3 linked regions of the Drosophila melanogaster genome follow. The gene in region 1 interacts genetically with each later gene. Each region holds a gene or a part of one and is shown in the gene's direction. Other genes may lie near its edges. The genes, in order: Galt, Galk and Gale.

What was found.
Region 2: of Galt (region 1) and Galk, changing one suppresses a phenotype caused by changing the other (phenotypic suppression), as found in Drosophila melanogaster (one study listed by BioGRID).
Region 3: of Galt (region 1) and Gale, changing one enhances a phenotype caused by changing the other (phenotypic enhancement), as found in Drosophila melanogaster (one study listed by BioGRID).

What each region holds. Positions count from the first base shown.
Region 1 is NT_033779.5:6,665,137-6,670,313, reverse strand, and holds Galt (Galactose-1-phosphate uridylyltransferase), read left to right. Parts: upstream 1-2,280; 5' UTR 2,281-2,624; coding exon 2,625-2,643; intron 2,644-2,783; coding exon 2,784-2,953; intron 2,954-3,022; coding exon 3,023-3,228; intron 3,229-3,305; coding exon 3,306-3,963; 3' UTR 3,964-4,050; downstream 4,051-5,177. Other genes in the region: cup, read right to left, coding at 1-550, 624-1,368, 1,427-1,972, 4,523-5,177.
Region 2 is NT_037436.4:8,981,247-8,988,634, reverse strand, and holds Galk (galactokinase), read left to right. Parts: upstream 1-2,543; 5' UTR 2,544-2,658; intron 2,659-2,818; exon of another isoform or gene 2,819-3,216; intron 3,217-3,326; exon of another isoform or gene 3,327-3,403; 5' UTR 3,404-3,409; coding exon 3,410-3,582; intron 3,583-3,648; coding exon 3,649-3,822; intron 3,823-3,967; coding exon 3,968-4,701; intron 4,702-4,898; coding exon 4,899-5,103; intron 5,104-5,161; coding exon 5,162-5,348; 3' UTR 5,349-5,531; coding exon of another isoform or gene 5,532-5,912; 3' UTR 5,913-6,423; downstream 6,424-7,388. Other genes in the region: CG5068 (uncharacterized protein), read right to left, coding at 1-249, 312-536, 592-903, 1,241-1,350, 1,410-1,608, 1,677-1,750; CG13314 (uncharacterized protein), read right to left, coding at 5,532-5,912.
Region 3 is NT_037436.4:646,505-652,702, forward strand, and holds Gale (UDP-galactose 4'-epimerase), read left to right. Parts: upstream 1-2,050; 5' UTR 2,051-2,547; intron 2,548-2,674; 5' UTR 2,675-2,675; coding exon 2,676-2,915; intron 2,916-3,728; coding exon 3,729-4,019; intron 4,020-4,079; coding exon 4,080-4,601; 3' UTR 4,602-4,807; downstream 4,808-6,198. Other genes in the region: CG3402 (uncharacterized protein), read right to left, coding at 5,584-5,772, 5,940-6,068. UniProt on the Drosophila melanogaster protein: Catalyzes two distinct but analogous reactions: the reversible epimerization of UDP-glucose to UDP-galactose and the reversible epimerization of UDP-N-acetylglucosamine to UDP-N-acetylgalactosamine.

The sequences.
Region 1 (5,177 bases):
TTTTGGTTATCACCGAATCTCAAATTGGAATGATGCTTCTGCGGCTGTCCATTCATAGGATAACCAGAGGCGTGGTTATTGCCACCGCCAGAGATCAAGGCATGGAGCAAGGCATTCGAGTTGGCATCTGGTCGAGCCTGGCGTTGCTGGCCACGGTTTAGATATTGCTGCTGTGCCTGATGCTTGGCACCGCCATTGATAAGCTTCGAGGTCTGCTCCTCAATTTTTCGCTTCATTACGGCGTTTCGCATTATCACATTGGCATGCGCTTGCAAGTCCTCCTGCGACAGTTGGTGCGGCGCCTGCGTCTGTGGATTATGCTGCGGCTGCTGCCTGGCTGCAAGAGTCTGCTGGACAATGGCCAAGTTGTGGAGATTCTGCAACTGGCTGGCGATGACCGTGCTTGAGAGCATGTCCAGCTGCTGCTTGTGCTGCTGCTGCTGCTGCTGGGTGTTGGTGAACTGCAATACAGCAGTGATGGCCTCGCGATCCATGTCCGTCAAGCGTGGGTTGGCCAACTGCACCAGCAATCCGTGCTTGGATATTTCCCCTGGGAAGTAAACAAACCAAAGAATCATATTGAAAACATGGAACTAACTTTGTTTTCATCATCCAATCGTCACCTTTAGTCAGACGGAGCAGTAGCAATTGGGTGTCGGCCCGGCCGAGGATCGCCTTCAGCTGCAGGCTCGCCAAAAAGGCGGTATGTTGCTGCTGCTGCTGTATGATGAGGTGCTGCTTCTGTTGCTGCTGCTGGTACTGCTGTTGCTGCATTATAAAGTTGGAGATGGCATCATAGCCAACCGCCTGTGACTGTGGCTTAGCCGAAGAAAGAGACCCAATTAGCTTCTGGAAGTTATCAGTCTGCTTGTTGGCAGTCTCGCCAACATTGTTCAGTGAGTTTCGACGCCATTTGGCCTCCAGCTGATCCACCGAAGGCATCTGTCCGATGTGGCCCAACGATTTGGGCTGCTCCGGATTGTTGCCATGACCCTGGTTAATGGCCTGCTTGAAAAACTCGTTCAGCGAAGAAGACGAGGAGTTCCCCTCATTGGCAAAGAATGACATGAATTTAGAGTTGTTCGTGTTTGTGTTCGACTGCTGCTGCATTTGCTGAGGCTGCGTTTGCGGCGGCTGTTGGTGATTAACATAACTGCTACTCTCGTAATTCTGTTGGCTTTGATTGAACTTATCAAACTGAAACGAACGGCCACTGCCTGGGCGTTTCTCTTCCTTTTGTTGCTGATGCTCGGTAGCCATAACATTATTCATGTTCTCCACGTTATGATTATTGTTAGTGTCGTGTTTGGGCATGTATTTGCTTCGACCCATCGGCTCCGCATGCGTCCATTTGTACTTATGGTCCATCTGAAACGAGTTATCTTATAGATTGCGTCATGGATTGAACTAAGTGCATAATACTAACCTTTTGTTTTGACGTTTCTCGCTCTGTTTCGCCTAATCCGTGGTTTTTGTTGCCCTCCTTTAGCATTTTCTCCTCGTCCTCATCGAACCCACACAACTCTATAGTGTCCAGTCTAGACGTGGGTCCACAGCTAAACCACTCAGGCTCCTCGTTCTGGTTCCTGTACCGCCGGTGATGTCTATCCTCGACATCTCGTGACTTGGGCTTCGATACAACCAGGAATCCAGACATTACGCGCTTTACATAGTTCTCGTTGGCGCGACTCAAATCTTCACTGGACTCGTTCGAGTGCAGGGTGTCGTTCTCGGATCGATTGATAGACATCCCCATCACAGGAGTGTTCGGCCGTCTTTGAGGCTGACTGCTGATCTCGCCGTTGTCGAAGAACTGCAGCACCGTCATGTTTTTGCTGTTCTTCGAGTTGACCTCCTCCATATGCTGCGACTTGCCATTGTGGTACGAGTGGTAGTCTTCGTCGTTGTAACCCCACTTGGAATGGTTTAAGCGACCGCTGCCAATGCGTCTTTGGTTAACAATGGCCGGATCCTGAAATAATTATTCGAATATCTGTAGATTTTTCCATAAAACTTTAAAATTCTCTCGGCTATCATATACCTCTTACTTAGCTAATAAGTTTTAAAGAAATTAGATTACAGTGATTGCAATATAGCTGAATAGACTTTAGGAAACAGTTTGTTCCAATCACAATAATTAGGCAAACAGATACTGCATAAAATATAAATATAACTATACTTATTTAAACATTAAACAGCCATCTCTATGGACGTCTTATCGACCACCGCGCATCACTAGCGGCACACACAATCGCGCTCACACTGTTTACACACCCATATCAGAACGCCCAGCTGAGTGGGAGAGATAAGGCTGATGGAAAATTCTTCCACTGAAAGGCGGAATGCGTGCCAAACTCAAACTAAACGCTCGCCGGCAGAGTGAGCGGAATAATCCGAAGAGAGAAAAGAGAGGAATGTAGCTGAAGAAGCGCGCTTTGCTAAGCGAAAAACAGCTCAACTGGAATCGGATTCAGAAGCAAAAGCAGAATCACAATCGGAACACCAATATCAGCAGCATTAGGAGCTGTAATCGCAACGCGGCAGGTTGACATTGGGCTTGTCCCGTGAATCTGAAGTAGTCATAATCCGATCGGAGTGATACGGAGCGCCAGTCTTTCGACACGATGCAGTTTGTGGCCAGTGGTAGGTTTAAAAGAAGTTCCACCATGCCAATTTGATTCAGTTTCTATGGCGAATGGTCATATGTTGATCAACAATTAGTTCCAAATCAATGGTCTGGTTTATCGCTGCTCAATCTTAATTAAAATCGAATGTCATTGCAGAGCACCCGCACCGACGTCTAAATCCGTTGAACGGCCAATGGGTCCTAGTGTGCCCACATCGCACCCAACGCCCTTGGTCGGGTCAGCAGGAGAAGGCGCAGAAGAACGAGCTGCCCGAATTCGATCCCACCAATCCTCTGTGCCCTGGCGTCACCAGACCCAATGGAATCGTAAGCGACCAAACTAAATCCTCGCAAATGTTTTAAGCATTCTCACGTGTATATTTTGTAAATGATCAGCAAACTCCGGAATATGAGAGCACCTATGTGTTTGAGAACGACTTCCCGGCCCTGGTGGAGGTGGTGCCCGTTCCGCCCAACAACGATGATCCACTGTTCCAGATAGCTCCCGCCCGTGGCAACTGCCGAGTGATGTGCTTCCATCCCAAATCGAATCTGACTTTGCCCACGATGAGTGCAGCGGAAATCGTCGTTGTTATCGACGAGTAAGTGGAGGATTTATGGTTTATATCAGAAGATACTCAAAATAATAAACCCACTTTTTATCTAACTGCCTATCTAGGTGGATCAGCCAGTTCAACGAGCTTAGCGCCAAGTACGCGTGGGTGCAGATATTCGAGAACAAGGGAGCCGCCATGGGGTGTTCCAATCCCCATCCGCACTGCCAGATCTGGTCATGCTCGTTTCTGCCGACGGAACCGCAACTGAAGCAGGAGCGTCTGCGTGCCTACTACGCCACCAACGAGCGGCCCATGCTGGCCGACTATGTGGAGCGTGAGCTGCAGCGCCAGGAGCGGATTGTCATTGAGAATCGCGACTGGTTGGTGGTGGTGCCCTTCTGGGCCACTTGGCCCTTCGAAACCATGCTCATCTCACGCAACAACAATAAGCGGATCAATGATCTTACCGCAGAACAGCGATACAACTTGGCGCTGACCATAAAGGAGCTGACCACCAAGTATGACAATCTGTTCCAGTGTTCATTCCCCTACTCGATGGGTTGGCATGGAGCACCGACTGGGCCGGAGCATGCCCACGCATCCAGTGCTCATTGGACCCTGCACGCCATCTACTATCCGCCGCTGCTTCGTTCTGCCTCCGTGCGCAAGTTCATGGTGGGATTTGAGCTGCTGGCCATGGCCCAGCGGGATCTGACTCCCGAACAGGCAGCCCAAAGGTTGCGGGAGGTCGATGGAAAGTGTCATTATCTAGAGAAGTGATTTCGCTCGAGGGTATTTGTAGAATCCCAGATGGTTTAGAATTCAATAAAAGGAAATAGTCTAATACGACTGTAGTAATTACTTCATACTTATTCGCAATCAGTTGTAAAATGTTCTAGATTAGTGATTTGACTGTGGCGAGGGTCCAGCCAATGATCAGCATGATTGCCAAAGACCTCTGGAGGTCATGCAATGCAATCATTGATTTATCAGATAAGCTCAGGAATAATGCGACTTTGTGTTACCTAATGCAAAAGTGGGGAAAATGTTCTTAATCGATTAAGCGATTTTTTCTAAGCAGAAAAGGCGGGAAATATGATTTTTCATAAAAGAGCTTTTCTGAGCAGACCAAAAAGACAATTTGGCCTACAAAGGAAGGGGTATCAGATGGTCGAGGTACTCAAATGAATCGACGCCATGTGTAACTGTAACAATTACCGCACTGTCACAATCACTTTTTCCTTTTCAAATCATAAGTTTTCCATTAAGCTAACCAAGTCTATTTTATATAGAATATATGGCAAAATTGAGTAGAATAGTATAAGTTTAACTAGCTTACTTGGAACTCCGTTTGCGGCTGGGGCGGTTGGCTCTGGATGATGGACTCGTCACTGATTAGGTTCGGCTTATTTTTGTTTTTGAAGAAGGCAGGCATGCACTCATTGTTGTTGTTGTTGTTCATGTTTAAGTTAGCTGTGGTGGAGCGGGTCCGGAATCTTGTGCCGTCCGAGGTGCGCCAAATATTCATGCGGCGAAGCCTTCCCTCCAACTCAATGTCGTCGCAGGTGGCGATGCGAGGCATCACAAAGCTCTCCTTGGACCTGTGCATCAGGGCATTGAACATCCCGTTGCGAATGTCCATCAGGCGGGAGCGGGTATAGCTCTTGACCGGCTTGCTGCTGACCACCGGAGCAGTAGTAGGACGAACAGCCTTGGGTGCTCGCAGACTTCCTGGCTTGTGAATGCCTGTGCTGGGTGGACGCTTTTGCTGCACCTGACTAGACTGCTGCTCCGGCACGGCCTCCTTGCTGGCCACTTGCTTCCGCGGCGAATCGTGCTCCAGGTCACAACTAACGGCCGTGCAGGACAACATGCTGGAGGGCTGTGTGTACGGTGTGGATGCTCGGGCCGAGAGAACTTGCAGGGTCAGACCCTCGTCCTCGTGCAGATGCTTCGAGGGTCCATGCATCGGAATGGCCTCCCCCGAAATGGAT
Region 2 (7,388 bases), on another chromosome or scaffold:
AAGTAGCCGCTAATCACCTCAGCCACCTCGTGTGGACGGTCCTCGTGCACGGCGTGACCGCAGCGGGCCAAGACCTGCATCTGGAAGCGACCCTGCATCTGGCCAACAGTCAGGGTGCGGTCCAGTCCATCGATGCTGGCGAGGAGTAGTTGCTTGGGCAGGCGCAAGTTAAGGAACTTATCGCTCAGCCCCGAAAACCAGCCCACCCAGTACTTCTCCGACTTGGACAGATCAATGCGCCAGGTGTAACTGAGAAGCAATCAATGAATAATTTGTGTTTTAACTAAAATAAAATAAATTGGACTACGTACTTTTTGGCCGCTTCGGTTGTCGATTTGGTCGTGTTGGGCTTCTTGAAATCCGCGCCAGCTGCGGCACTTTCTGAGGAGCCATCGGCGGCGTCATCGCCCGGCGGTGACGATTCTTCATCCTCCGAAATGCTAAACGGATTGGGAAACATACTGTTGTGGTGGGCCTCCTCCAATACATCATCTGGTAATGGCAGATCATTCGTTGCCAGTTTGTTCGTTGTACAACTGCGTGGGATTGATTTATTATTACTTTTCTGTCGTTTACGACAATCCTACTCACTTTATTATCTGTCCCGGCATGGACACTTTGGCGCTGTCCACATTGCGCACTTGGCCGCTTCGGATGCACCACTCGATAGCATTCGGAATACTCTGGAAATACTTTGGACGGGAGCGCAGAAAGCTCTGCATGCTGGCTAGTGCCTCCATGGCTGTGCCCTCCACAACATCGATGACGGTTATTCCAATCAAATTGGGCACCAGAGCCATGTGGGCAAAGTGGACGGCGATGGCGCCGCCCATCGAGTGGCCAACCACAAAAAGCTGCGGCACTTCTTCAGGATAGAGCTTCAGGATTAAGTCACCGATGTCCCTGTTTAGAATATTTTAAACATTATTATAGATTATAGATTAGATTATTATGGTTTTTAGCTTCAACCGTGAATAAAGTAACTATAAAAAACTAAATAATATTTACAAATGAGTGATCGTTCAAATAGATCGACCTACTTTAAGTGCAGTGCGCTATTTTTATAAATAAAGAGATTATGCAAGTTTAGCCTAATCGTTCATAAAGCTAAGAGTTAATGCGAGAAGTTTTACTCGACAAAATCTTAAAAATATTGGTTTTTAATGTAAGCAGTAGAAAAATTTGCATAACCATCTCTAAAACATATTTTGAGAACAATATTTTTTTGGATTCAACTCACTTAGCCAACGTATCAGCGGAGAGATCGTCCTCGTCGTCCACCTTGCTGTCCCCATGACCTCGCATATCGATGCACAGGCACTGGCAGTGGATCATGCTGGTCACCTCAGACTTAAATGGATATATGTACATGTTAAGACTATTTAACAGAATATATCGCATTCACTCACACAAAAGTGCGCCCAGGTGAGGGCAGAGTAGCCACCGCCGTGGAGCAGAAGGAGAACTGGACCCGGCTTCTCCGGTTGCTTGGTGCGATAGATGCGGAAGGTGCGTTGCTCATCCACCGTGACGTCCTCCTTCTCCGCAAAGAATTCGTTCCACATGCCCGGCTTGTAGTCGCGAATGCGCGACTTCTTGAACGAGTCCCTGTAATTAGCCAAATTGGGTAGAGATTGCGTACTCCCCACTCCAGTCGCAGAATACCCTGCACTTACGCTCTGCCAATGCGCCCGCCAGGAATTGTGGGTGGCAGCTTGCCCTTCAACATCGTGCGCTGTAAACTCGACATTGATCCGATTGTCTTCGCTGTGGGGTCAACAGGTGGTGCTCCTACGGTGCAGGTGCAAGTGGTTATTCACACAGTCGTTGCTCGCAATTATCCGTTTTCGAAAACAAAAAAATAGTTCCAATTCAACGAAGAAGTATTGCAGTGTGACCGTAATCGAGAAAACCGTAACTGACGCCAGCTGGCAGCGCTGGTTCAAGAGCTGCACTTGGCAATGCCCTTGTCTGGCAACGCCTAACCGCAACAGTCAACATTTCAAATTCCAAAACGGATATTTTAGGCTTTTGCAATCAAAGACGAAAATCCGTACCATACTGAAACAACAACAGTTGTATATTTTAATGTTTGTACATTTTAATCAATTAAGTATTTTAAAAGTTTATCTACGAAAAAATTGATGAGCTCCCCGAAACACTTGTACCTTATCAGCTTTGTAAATACTTCACATTAATGGCAAAATAATAAGCAAGGTAATAACCTTTCGCAAAGTGGATGTCAAAACCACTTTTTAAAGCAGACAAAATTTGGAAACCAGTTTTTTAGAATGCTAACAAGAAAGAATTCATATGCTATGAAGATGTTTGACCCATTTAACGGTAAAGACAGCTAGTTATAAACTAACAAAGCTCTCAACAAGTTCCTACTGATACACACAGTGCAACATCGCTAGCTGGGAAACTGGTGTTCTATAAGGTCTCCGAGCATTTATATTTCAGTAATGCTACTGATAAGGAAGTATCACTTTATTGTTCATAGTATTCCGGACTAAGCAAAAACGGAAACGGAACGGGCCGGATTGCTCAGTTGCTTGATGGAACGCGACGTGCTCACACCGAAAACTAGAACTCCTCTCTGATAAGACGGCACCAAGTTAATTTGACCTCAAACAGAGAAAGATAAGGCATTGTTGGGTATGTATCGGCAAAAGTGTAAAAATCTTGACAAAATCCTTTATATCTGTGTTTATTCTGGTATGTAAACAAAAGGTAAGCTCAATACAGGTTAAGTTTATGGTTTCGAGATAAGATAAATGTCATGTTTGTCATTAATGGTCTATTTAGATTATGCGGCAGTAAGTTTAAGCGGTAGTACTTTTGAAAAACAATTACCAGCTAAGAACTTTATTGCCAAATAATTTACTATTAGTTGGGACTAGACATAAACATCAATTTCGCGGATAAATATTCAAAATAAAATCTTTATCCATTGCGCATTTCAAGGGTTAATGCTTCTGCAAGCCTGGCAACTCCTAAATAACAGCTGTTGGCTATAGTCCTCTCGCTCCCGCACACCCTTCCTTTTCATTTACCGGCAGAAATTGCACTTTTGTACTTGTTTTTTGCCCAATTAAGCGGTCAAATTGGCGTCAATCTAATGTTTTAGTGACTTTGATGCCGTTTCCCCAACTGATAACCGCAATGTTAGTACATCACTTTGTGTGCTAATAGCTATTTGGACATATTGATAAGGTGAGATGGGTTGATAAGCTAATTTTTGCACAACCACAGGTGCAATTGTTTTTCCCTTTGCCACGGCTATTTGTTTACGTATGTAAATTTGTTTTTGCCCATAAATTTAGATTAACCAGTTGCGACACGTTTACGGTTCGTCGACTGCGAAAATAATGGGCATTATTAAAGTTTCACCCGCCTGCAGGTGAACATGACTGCCAACGGGAACGGAACTGCTCAGGATTTGGGTGCCGGCATTGAAATCGTGGCCCCACAGAAGCTCCAGCCGGAATCCAAGGTTTACGGGCGCGTGCAGCAATTGACCGCATTTTTCAAACAACAATTCGGAGCGAATCCGGACTTTATCGTTCGAGTGCCAGGAAGGTGAGCAGTTCCACTCGTGGTGCACATCTATAGTCCCTTATCGATGATATCTCCTCCTTCTCCTAGGGTCAACATCATTGGCGAGCATGTGGACTACTGCGGCTATTCGGTGCTGCCCATGGCTGTAAGCCAGAGCATTTTCCTTGCAGTGGCCAAGAATCCTAGTGATAGCCAGCTTCAACTCAGAAATCTCGAGGAAGCGAAGTTTACGGGCTACGATGCCGATCTCAAAACGCTCAGGTGGGTGAATCAGAAACATGATAATTACCGACCTTAAGCACTAGAAAATTTTCCATTTAATTTGTTATAATAACAATGTCACCTTGAAGGCGGTATCTAAACGAATTTAGAAATGATAAGTCCAAATATTTTTTTGCTATTTTAGAATCGAGCTTCCAAAGAGTGGTGGACCCGCTTGGTATAACTACTTCTTGTGCGGCATCAAAGGAATACAGGAGAGTCTGGGCAGCCAGTGGAAGCCCATTGGCATGCGCATTGCTGTGGACGGTAATGTGCCCTTGGCGGCAGGACTCTCCAGTTCGAGTGCCATGGTCAGCTCCGCTGTGTTGGCCACCGCACACGTCCAGGGCAAGAAACTAGATCGCAGGGAGCTGGCTTCCATTTCGGCCATGTGTGAGCAGTACATTGGAACGCACAGTGGTGGTATGGATCAGGCAATAGCCTATTTGGGCAGAGTTGGCTGCGCCCACCACATCGAGTTCCATCCCAAGCTCAAGGGCACTCCGGTGACCTTGCCAGCGGGCAAGTGCTTCGTTGTGGCCAACAGTCTGGCTCAAAAGAACAAGGCTGCTTCGTCGGACTACAATGAACGAGTGGTGGAATGCCGATTGGCCACTAGATGGCTGGCCAAGCGCAAGGGCTTGATCAACTGGGAGGATATTGTGCGCTTCATTGATCTAGAGGAGGCGTGCCAAATGGATAATGAGACTTTCGAGAAGTTGATTAAGGACAACTTAACGAAGAGCAACTACACGCGAGCGGATATCTGCAAGGAGTTGGGAGTCACCGAACAGGAACTGGAGACCAAGTTCCTATCCGCCAACACTCGGCACATGGAGCAGTTCAAGCTGCGTCAACGTGCTCTGCATGTTATTCAGGGTAAGTTAATCATTTACAATCAGGATTTCACATTTAATCTGAATCATTACGTGTACATTAAATTTATTGATCACCAAATGAATAATTACAGTCAATTAATAATACGTTGACATTCATTTGTTGTCCGAAAGATTTAAACTCTTAGCAAATAATATTAAATTGCAAGATCAGTTAATAACATTGTTTCCGCCTAACAGAATCCGGTCGCGTGGCCAAATTCCGGAAAATTTGTGAGGAACTCGCCGGCGGAGCCAATAAGGAAGGTGCAAAACAGCTGGGTGAGCTCATGCGGCAATCCCACGAGAGTTTAAGGGAGCTATACGAATGCTCTCATCCTGATGTAGAGCGCCTGATTGCCATATCGAACCAGCAGAACGTTAGCGCCCGAGTCACTGGAGCTGGGTAAGAAAACCGATATCCTAGTGACTCTATGAATTTAATCAACATTATTCTTTTTCAGTTGGGGCGGTTGTATAGTTGCCATGTGCGATTCCATAGAAGCAGCTGATGAGTACATAAAGGTTTTGAAGCGCGATTACTATGCTCAATTGCCAACACATCTCCTGGAGCGTCATCAGCCCAACAACTTTAGCGAAGTGGTCTTTGCCACTCTACCAGGAAACGGAGCCGAGTTGTATATACAGTGAACGCTTGTGTAGCATTTTAATCCAACTTTTATACCAAAATCATCCTATCAGTCACTATAATCAAACGGTCATTTATAGAAAAAACATTTAATATGTAGAGTACTATGTACAATATATTAACAATTTACAAGCTAAAATACAACAAGGCACGTGGGGAACGGAACTCATCTGGCATCGTGAGTTCTATCTGCTACTCAGATAGCCGGCGTTCTTGAAGAGCTTGTACACCTGTTCGCGCGGTATTTTCTCCGCCTCACGATGTACCACTGCCATTTCCTTCTTCGTGAGCAGTGATTCCTTGGCCAGATTGGCAGCGATCACGGGATCATTGTAGAACCGCGCACTCTTCGACAGCTCAGCCGGCAACTCAGACTCCCACTGGGCATTTCGCACCACCGAGGGATGGGCATCGGCTGTTGCATATCCCTGGTACGGATTGGCCGGTTCGTAAGCGTGCGCAACCGGCAGACCCAGCGCCTGGTGGTAGAAGAACTGGGCCCGAACCGAACTCATGGCCAGAAGCAGGCATCCAGCGAGCAGCGTTACTTGGCAGGCGGTCGGCATGATTGGCTGCTGGAGGGGAGAAAAGGAGCAGGAGCTGGCATTATTGTCCAACGTTCTAATAAAGCGATACGGACAGATTTATTGCCGCTGGTCAGTGGCAGTTTTTAATCTACAAGTCGGCTGTCAGTTTCGTGCGTCATAAATTATGTACGGGAAAATCAATTATCGCATATGGCCAATGGAGTGGGCAACGCGGAGATCTTGGCTCAAACTGTTACAGTTGCTAATCCATGAACTTTTTTGCAACTTGGAACTGGCTTTTTTTTATTGATAAGAATTGGACTGGCCGCGAACTAAATGGCGAGCTTTATTTGTCAAGCGTAGAGTGCTCCAATTTGGTCGCAACAAAGCAATCGTAGCTTGAGATATAAGTACAGTGGTCTCTCTAGAACTCTTTTGAGATTTTAATTGCAATTGGGTAATTTGCTATAAGGATTGGTGAAAATATTATTTTTTATTTTACGTTATAATGACATTATCGAAGATGCATTTACCAAATGTATTAATTAAGAATACGTTAGCAATGAAATTGATTTAAATCATGATCATCCTTTTTAGGCTTTGATATATTCACTTCGAACTGAAACCCTGATATAATCCTTGAAAATGTGACATTCGTTATTAGATTATACACTCTTTAAACCTTTCTACTTTTTAATGATCACAGCCACTGTACATGCATTTTTATTATGCGCCATTAAATGCATTTACATATTCCAAGTCCAAATTGATACGTTGATTCAGCCAAAGTCAAGGTTACGATCCCACACAACCGAATCGGATTTCGGTTCTCCAAAAAGCACCCACTCGCACAAACACACGACACTCACTCACTTTGATCTGGACTTATTTCAACGGCTAATCCTCGAGAGAAGCACTTCAAATGAAACTGGAACACCTGGGTGAAGTTGAGACTGTAAACTGATCATAGAATATCGAGACGGCGAACTTTTATTCGCTTGCCGTTGAATGCCACAAAAACGAGTTGAACTCAAGTCTGTGAGTCAACCGATTTTCGAATCTCGCTCAAAGCGCCGCTTCTGAGCGCCGAGAATGAGTCAAGTTTTTTTTTCAGACCAGGCTGCTGCTTTACATTTTATTAAATTAATTATGGTCGCAGTGGAGTGGATTGGATTGGATTGAAGTGTAGAGTAGAGTGGAGCGAAGCGGAGGGGACTGCAATTCTGGTACAGACTGACCTAGGCCTAGGCGCTCAGCTTGGGCAATTAAAAGCAATGATATCTGTCTCCGTTTCTCATGCTCCATAAAAGTGCCCCCCAAAAAAGGTCGGACTGCCAGTCGGCAGCGTTATACGCATGGCAAAAGTCGCACAGATATATATCAACGTGCACCATATACAAATACTCGCAAAAACAATAGTTTGAACAATTGATAACTCAATTGGTTTATTATTATTCAAAGATTATTCATCGCAGCACAGAAATAAATATTATATGTTTAACTTTTTAAAAGGAT
Region 3 (6,198 bases), on another chromosome or scaffold:
TCGACTTCGGATCGCGCATAGAAAAGTGCGTTTTGAATTTAATTTTCCATATCTTCAATTTAGGAATTGAAAACTTTTAGACGGGCCATGCGGGTTCTGCCAGAAAACGTCACGAAATATGTATAAATTGCTTAATTTGTGATAAGCATTTATGGTGGCCCGGGCGATCCCAGTTTCCAAGTCGGTCTCCGTTGGGCCATGTGAAAAGTGCACCACTTTCACTATTTCCCTACTTCATTTTCCCATTGCCGATCCGAGATCAAATTAAAGTGCCAGAGTCGGTGCTTATCTGGGGTGGTCTCTTTTGAGGGAACGCAGAACATACATAGATGATTATCGGGCACAAACAATAATGCGGAAAATTGGTTTTATTAAGATGGATAACCGAAATTTACAATAAGTGTAAGCAAGGAAATTCTATTCGTTTGGCATTCTATTCGTGGAGTGGAAAGTGTTTGAAATAAAAGATCACATACTAATAAACATATAAGTACAGTAAGTAAACAAGAAGACGGACATAGCTAACGGGCCGGGCCAGACCCCCCGAAAACCTTAGCCCCAGCAATAACAGCAATCCAACTCTCGGACCGAACTGATAATTCCCCCATATGTGCAGGCGGGATTGGATTGGGAGCTCGCTTCTATACATATATATATATATATATTTATGTATGTAGACTAGACCGCAGCACATTATGTACAAATACGTAGCTTTAGGATCGACCACTTCCACTTGGAGACTTGTCCGTTCTGTCTTTCTCTTTCCAATTCTGTTTCAGTTCAGTTTCTGTGGCTGCGACTCTGACTGTGCAAATTATTGTCGCTCACATAAAAAAATATTGCAGGCCAGCGCCATTCAGAGGCGAGCAATGCCGGAAGTTCAACTAACTCATTTCCGGTTGTCAGTATGTACATATGTGTGCCGCCCGAGAATCTCAAAATATATGTAGATGTACGTATGTATGTAGTACATGCGGTGTGCGGTAAGCATGGTCTTGCGGTATATGTATGTACTGCGTCTTCCTTATCGAGTGAGCTTTCCCGCATTCGAGAATCGATTCGTTTCCAGATGATTATGTAGATTATTATGCCGAAGCAGTATTTTACGGTTTGTTCTAATTTTGGGACTCTTATGCCGCAATTTTTTTTAGCGATAAATTGAAATGGAATTCGGAAACCATAATCAGAAAAACGATTTATTGACTGAGATAGAACTATTCAAACAAATAACGATTATCGACACTCCAAAAACCATAAGATAAAGCCGGTCAAATGCCAATCTAGGTTAAAGCTCCGAAGCTTTCGACCCATTCATGCATTCCATTCATTCAGAACCGAAAGCAGGCGCATTTCATTGAGAGACTCGTCGCTGCGCAAATACATTCTCAATTAAGTTGTAAACATTGTGAGATCTTTTTCATTGCGTATTGAGCACATGCACTTCCGCTTATCATTAAAGATTTGAACCGAATTTGGGTCACCAAAAAGCTGTCCGAACTGCGGTTCTAGTTATTTATGACGATGTAGTTGTACGCATTGTACTGAAGTTTGTTGTTATCAAACGTTTGCTTTTCGAGTTTAAAATTAATTTTGAATCTGCTCCGTTTATCAGTCAAGTAAAATGTCAACTTATCTACATGTAAATTTTACAGAAGCACATGGCAGTGATGCCAGATCATATAAGATTATTATCTTGGGGATAGAATGCGTTACAAAATTACATTGCATTATGAATTTGGCGTTATTCTCTTATCATATGTTTAATTAATTACGATTTGTGATTTTATACGCTTTATAATGAAAACTATTTTTTTACCACCCCTATTCGCGTCTCCAGAATGTTTTCACATTTAAACACCGATATGGGCGCACTTCTTGTTTTAAGTTGTTCATATCGATAGACAGCCAAGAAATTTATCGAGACGAATCCCACTGTGCCAGGTAGCTGAAAAATCGGCGAATATGGCAGCGTCGAACGAGCCATGTCGCGTGGCAACGCTACCACTTTGTTTACTTTTATTCGGAGAGCGAAGTGAAGAGCACCTGGAAATTGCATTAATGGGCATGGAATCGGGAGCCAAAGGTCAGCGGCGATAAGGATGCACTTCGAGGTGACCCCGGCCGTCCGTCGACCAAGTCAGCCTGCTGCTAGCACTTGAATTAAAGTGACAGGAGAGCTCCGAGCCCACCAAACCACCGAAACTGATAAGAAGTGCGCGTTCGGAGAACGGAGAACAAGTTAAATAGGCTCCGTGGAGAGCCACCAGTTCAGTTGGCCAGCGACCGCAGATCAAAACAGACGTACGACAACACAGATGAATGAGGAAGAGTGCAAGAAACGGGTTAGCACACGATAGCACTCAACGGTCAGCGATCTTTGGCATCTTCATCTACACCATCATCTGCAATCTCGTCGGAGATCAGAGGCGTTGTTTTTAGGCATCGGAATCCGAGGCGGAATCGTTTCAAGGGCACGTCTCTTGCGTCTAGCTAAACTCAATCTGATTCACTGAGCGGGGATTCTCTACCATAATCACCTGTAAACAGGTGAGTTACCCGTTTTTCGCCAAGCAGACGGCTATTTCGCACGCCTGCCGAACGATTTTGGTGACGTCAATAAGAACTGGGCACTCGTGTGGCCTAATTTCGTGTGTTTTCCCCTTTCGCCACTTAGGATGGCCCCACCCACGGTCCTGGTCACCGGAGGAGCCGGCTACATTGGCTCCCACACGGTTCTGGAGATGCTCAATGCGGGCTACAACGTCATCTGCGTGGACAACCTGTGCAACGCCTACAGCAGCGGGGCCAAACTGCCGGAGGCCCTCAGCCGGGTGCAGGAAATCACCGGCAAGAAGGTCAACTTCTATAGAGTGGACATCACGGACAGGGAGCAGGTGCGCTCCGTCTTCCAGGAGGTGAGCACACGTAGCATTACATAGCTGGCACGTCAGCAGTTCGGAGGTTCTGGGGCAAATGTGCCAACTGGATACCATTCAATCAAGCTTATCTGGCATGCGCGCTATCAGCTTTTTTCTCGTTCGCGCTTGTTTTGTTGTTTGCTCAAGTGGCGGGGCACTTCCGACGAACCGCCGTGCTGATCGACCCTGAATGAAAGACCCACTTGGCGAGGTCGCATTCGAGTTGGTGCGCTGGCATCCACATCCACAACAGCTCCCGGGCACGTACACTACAATCTGGGTGGTCGGGAGCCCAGATTGCAGTGTTTACATCCATTGATAACCAAGAGAATTCGCTAATTCGAGCAGGTTATCACGCATTCTTGAGATGTTCGATCAAAGGGGTTTTTTTTGTTAACCACCGTCGTTTATAAAAAACAAAGCGTTTATTTACATGTAATGAACATTATAAAAATGCACGTTGTTGCCCAAATAGCCATGAAATATCTTAAGCTGATACTTTTTCATATTTTTATTCAACCATAAATGCACACAGCTTTGTGCTTACGCGCACTGATTACTGAATAGATTGAGCAGTATTTGTTGTGGTGGAATTTTTTACCTAATCAGCACTATCAACAGCTATTTAAAGAACACATAATTGTTTGTCAATAAATCACCTTGAAATCAATGTGATACTTTCATTTAATTGCTATTAAATTCTGCACTTTACGTTTATAAGAGGCAATATCCTTGTGCTTACTGAAGAGCTGGTTATTACAGATTTGGATTTCCCAAACTAATAGGTACATATATTTACATCCCTTTCAGCACAAAATCGACATGGTGGCCCACTTTGCCGCCCTGAAGGCCGTGGGTGAGTCCTGCCGCATACCTTTGCAGTACTACCACAACAACATGACCGGCACCAATGTCCTGCTGGAGGCGATGGCCGACAACAATGTCTTCAAGTTCGTGTACAGCTCCAGCGCCACCGTATACGGTGAGCCAAAGTTCCTGCCCGTGACCGAGGAGCATCCCACGGGCAACTGTACATCGCCCTACGGCAAGACTAAATATTTCACCGAGGAGATTCTCAAGGATCTGTGCAAGTCTGACAAGGTAGGAGGATGTCATTTCTTGATGTCCATAAGTTCTGTACTAAAGAATTCGCTCTTTCAGCGTTGGGCAGTGGTTTCGCTGCGGTACTTCAACCCGGTGGGTGCCCACATCAGTGGTCGGATTGGCGAGGATCCGAACGGCGAGCCCAACAACCTGATGCCCTACATCGCACAGGTGGCCGTGGGTCGACGTCCCAGCCTGAGTGTCTACGGCAGCGACTTTCCCACGCACGACGGCACCGGCGTGCGCGATTACATCCACATCGTGGACCTGGCCGAGGGACACGTAAAGGCGTTGGACAAGCTGCGCAACATCGCGGAGACGGGCTTTTTCGCCTACAATTTGGGCACCGGCGTGGGCTACTCGGTGCTGGACATGGTGAAGGCGTTTGAGAAGGCCTCCGGCAAGAAGGTCAACTACACTCTGGTGGACCGACGGTCCGGAGATGTGGCCACTTGCTATGCGGACGCCACGTTGGCGGATAAGAAGCTGGGCTGGAAGGCCGAGCGTGGCATCGACAAGATGTGCGAGGACACGTGGCGCTGGCAGAGCCAGAACCCAAACGGGTATGCCAACAAGTAGAGCTGTATATCGCCACGTTCCTGCCGCTCCGCAAGTTCCTGAGTTACTACGCCTGATAATGGCTCAGGTAGCAATTTCTATTTGCCTCTAGTTGTGTATATTTCTTTCCAAATTTCGTGTAGTATTCGCTCACTTCGATGTGTGCAAGTGTGCGTATGTAATCCAAAGTACTTTGTAATTAAAAAGGCTTTTCGCTGTTGTCATGTAATTTTGTGACCGTCATTTACGCGTTTGGTGACCGCTGGCATCATTGACGCGTGCCAATTGGCGCAATCACGTAATTAAGGTCACCGACAAGGTGGCACTGGGAGATTACACTTGGCATTAGGTAAAATAAACACACAACTGCATCAACCATTTGTCAGATCTTAATCAAAAATGGCATAATCACATTAAGCTGACCAAAGTTACAAGAAGACGTCTAACTCGCACATTTATTTAGCAAACATTTATTCAAATGCAATATAACATTAAAAACTCAATTTTAAACTTAAGTGATGCGCCTTCTTCGCACATATCTGCACAGTTAAAGTCATTTATCACAAGTATGTACTATGAATGTATGTTTCTTTCAACAACTCTGCGTTCGGCTGCTGCTTCTGTTTGGTTTTGGAATGGTCTGCACGTATAAAAGTACAAAATTGTTTATATTCGAGCCTGTTGTTTCTGGGAGTGTTTGTTTGTATCGGTATTTGGCAATCTGTTTTACACTTAGGAGCTTGGCGATTCGTTCAACAAGTGATGGAGAGGCAAAGAAATCGAATTCAACAAGAAGCATTACTAGGTGCTACATTTACGTCTGGCTACATGTGTGTGCGATATGCATACGTAATGAATTAATATGTATAATATGGTAGTTCTAAGTATTCGCATAGGTTGCAGGAGGCAAAGAGATCCGTAGCCCAGAGGGGCGGTGGAGGGGATAGTTTAAATGCCGCTTAAATACTGCTGTAGTCTGTGGAGACCCTGCTCCGAGCACCACTTATGTGGAGGTCACGCCCTTGCGGGCCACCAGCATGTTGAGTATCGGGTTTTTCCGGATGTAGCTCACGGCCTTTTTGTGGGTGACCATGGTGAAGTCGTAGCCGTTGCACTGCAGGATCTTGTCGTGGATCCGCAGACCTGCTCGGGCGGCGGGACTGCCCTCGTGCACCTCGGTCACATAGATGCCCTATTTTCAAAGGGGAAAACGTAACATTGTAACATTGAAACTGCTCTTAAGATACCGAACTAAAACTAAATTCCCCGACTTTCAAGGAGAGCTATAATTATTAGCTTTAAGATTGAAGCTCTCTTTTATGCCCGGAATTAGGTTCTAGTGTTTCCCAAGTTTCTCACATAATCCGTGTATCCCTGAGGGCTTTTCTTGTAGTCCTGGTCGATTCCGCCGCCGATCTTGAAGCCGCACTTGAGGATCTCGCGCCCCTCCTGGTCGTAGTCCTTCTCCTTGTGCAGCGTGATGGGAATCTGGGAATTGTGAGTCACATTTCATCAATCACTCGAATTTGAAAGTGGCTTGTCTTTTTTGCTCCAGCGACCCAATTTCACCTATACACACACAGGCGACTGTGCGTGTGAGCCAGGTTTAGTTCGTTCG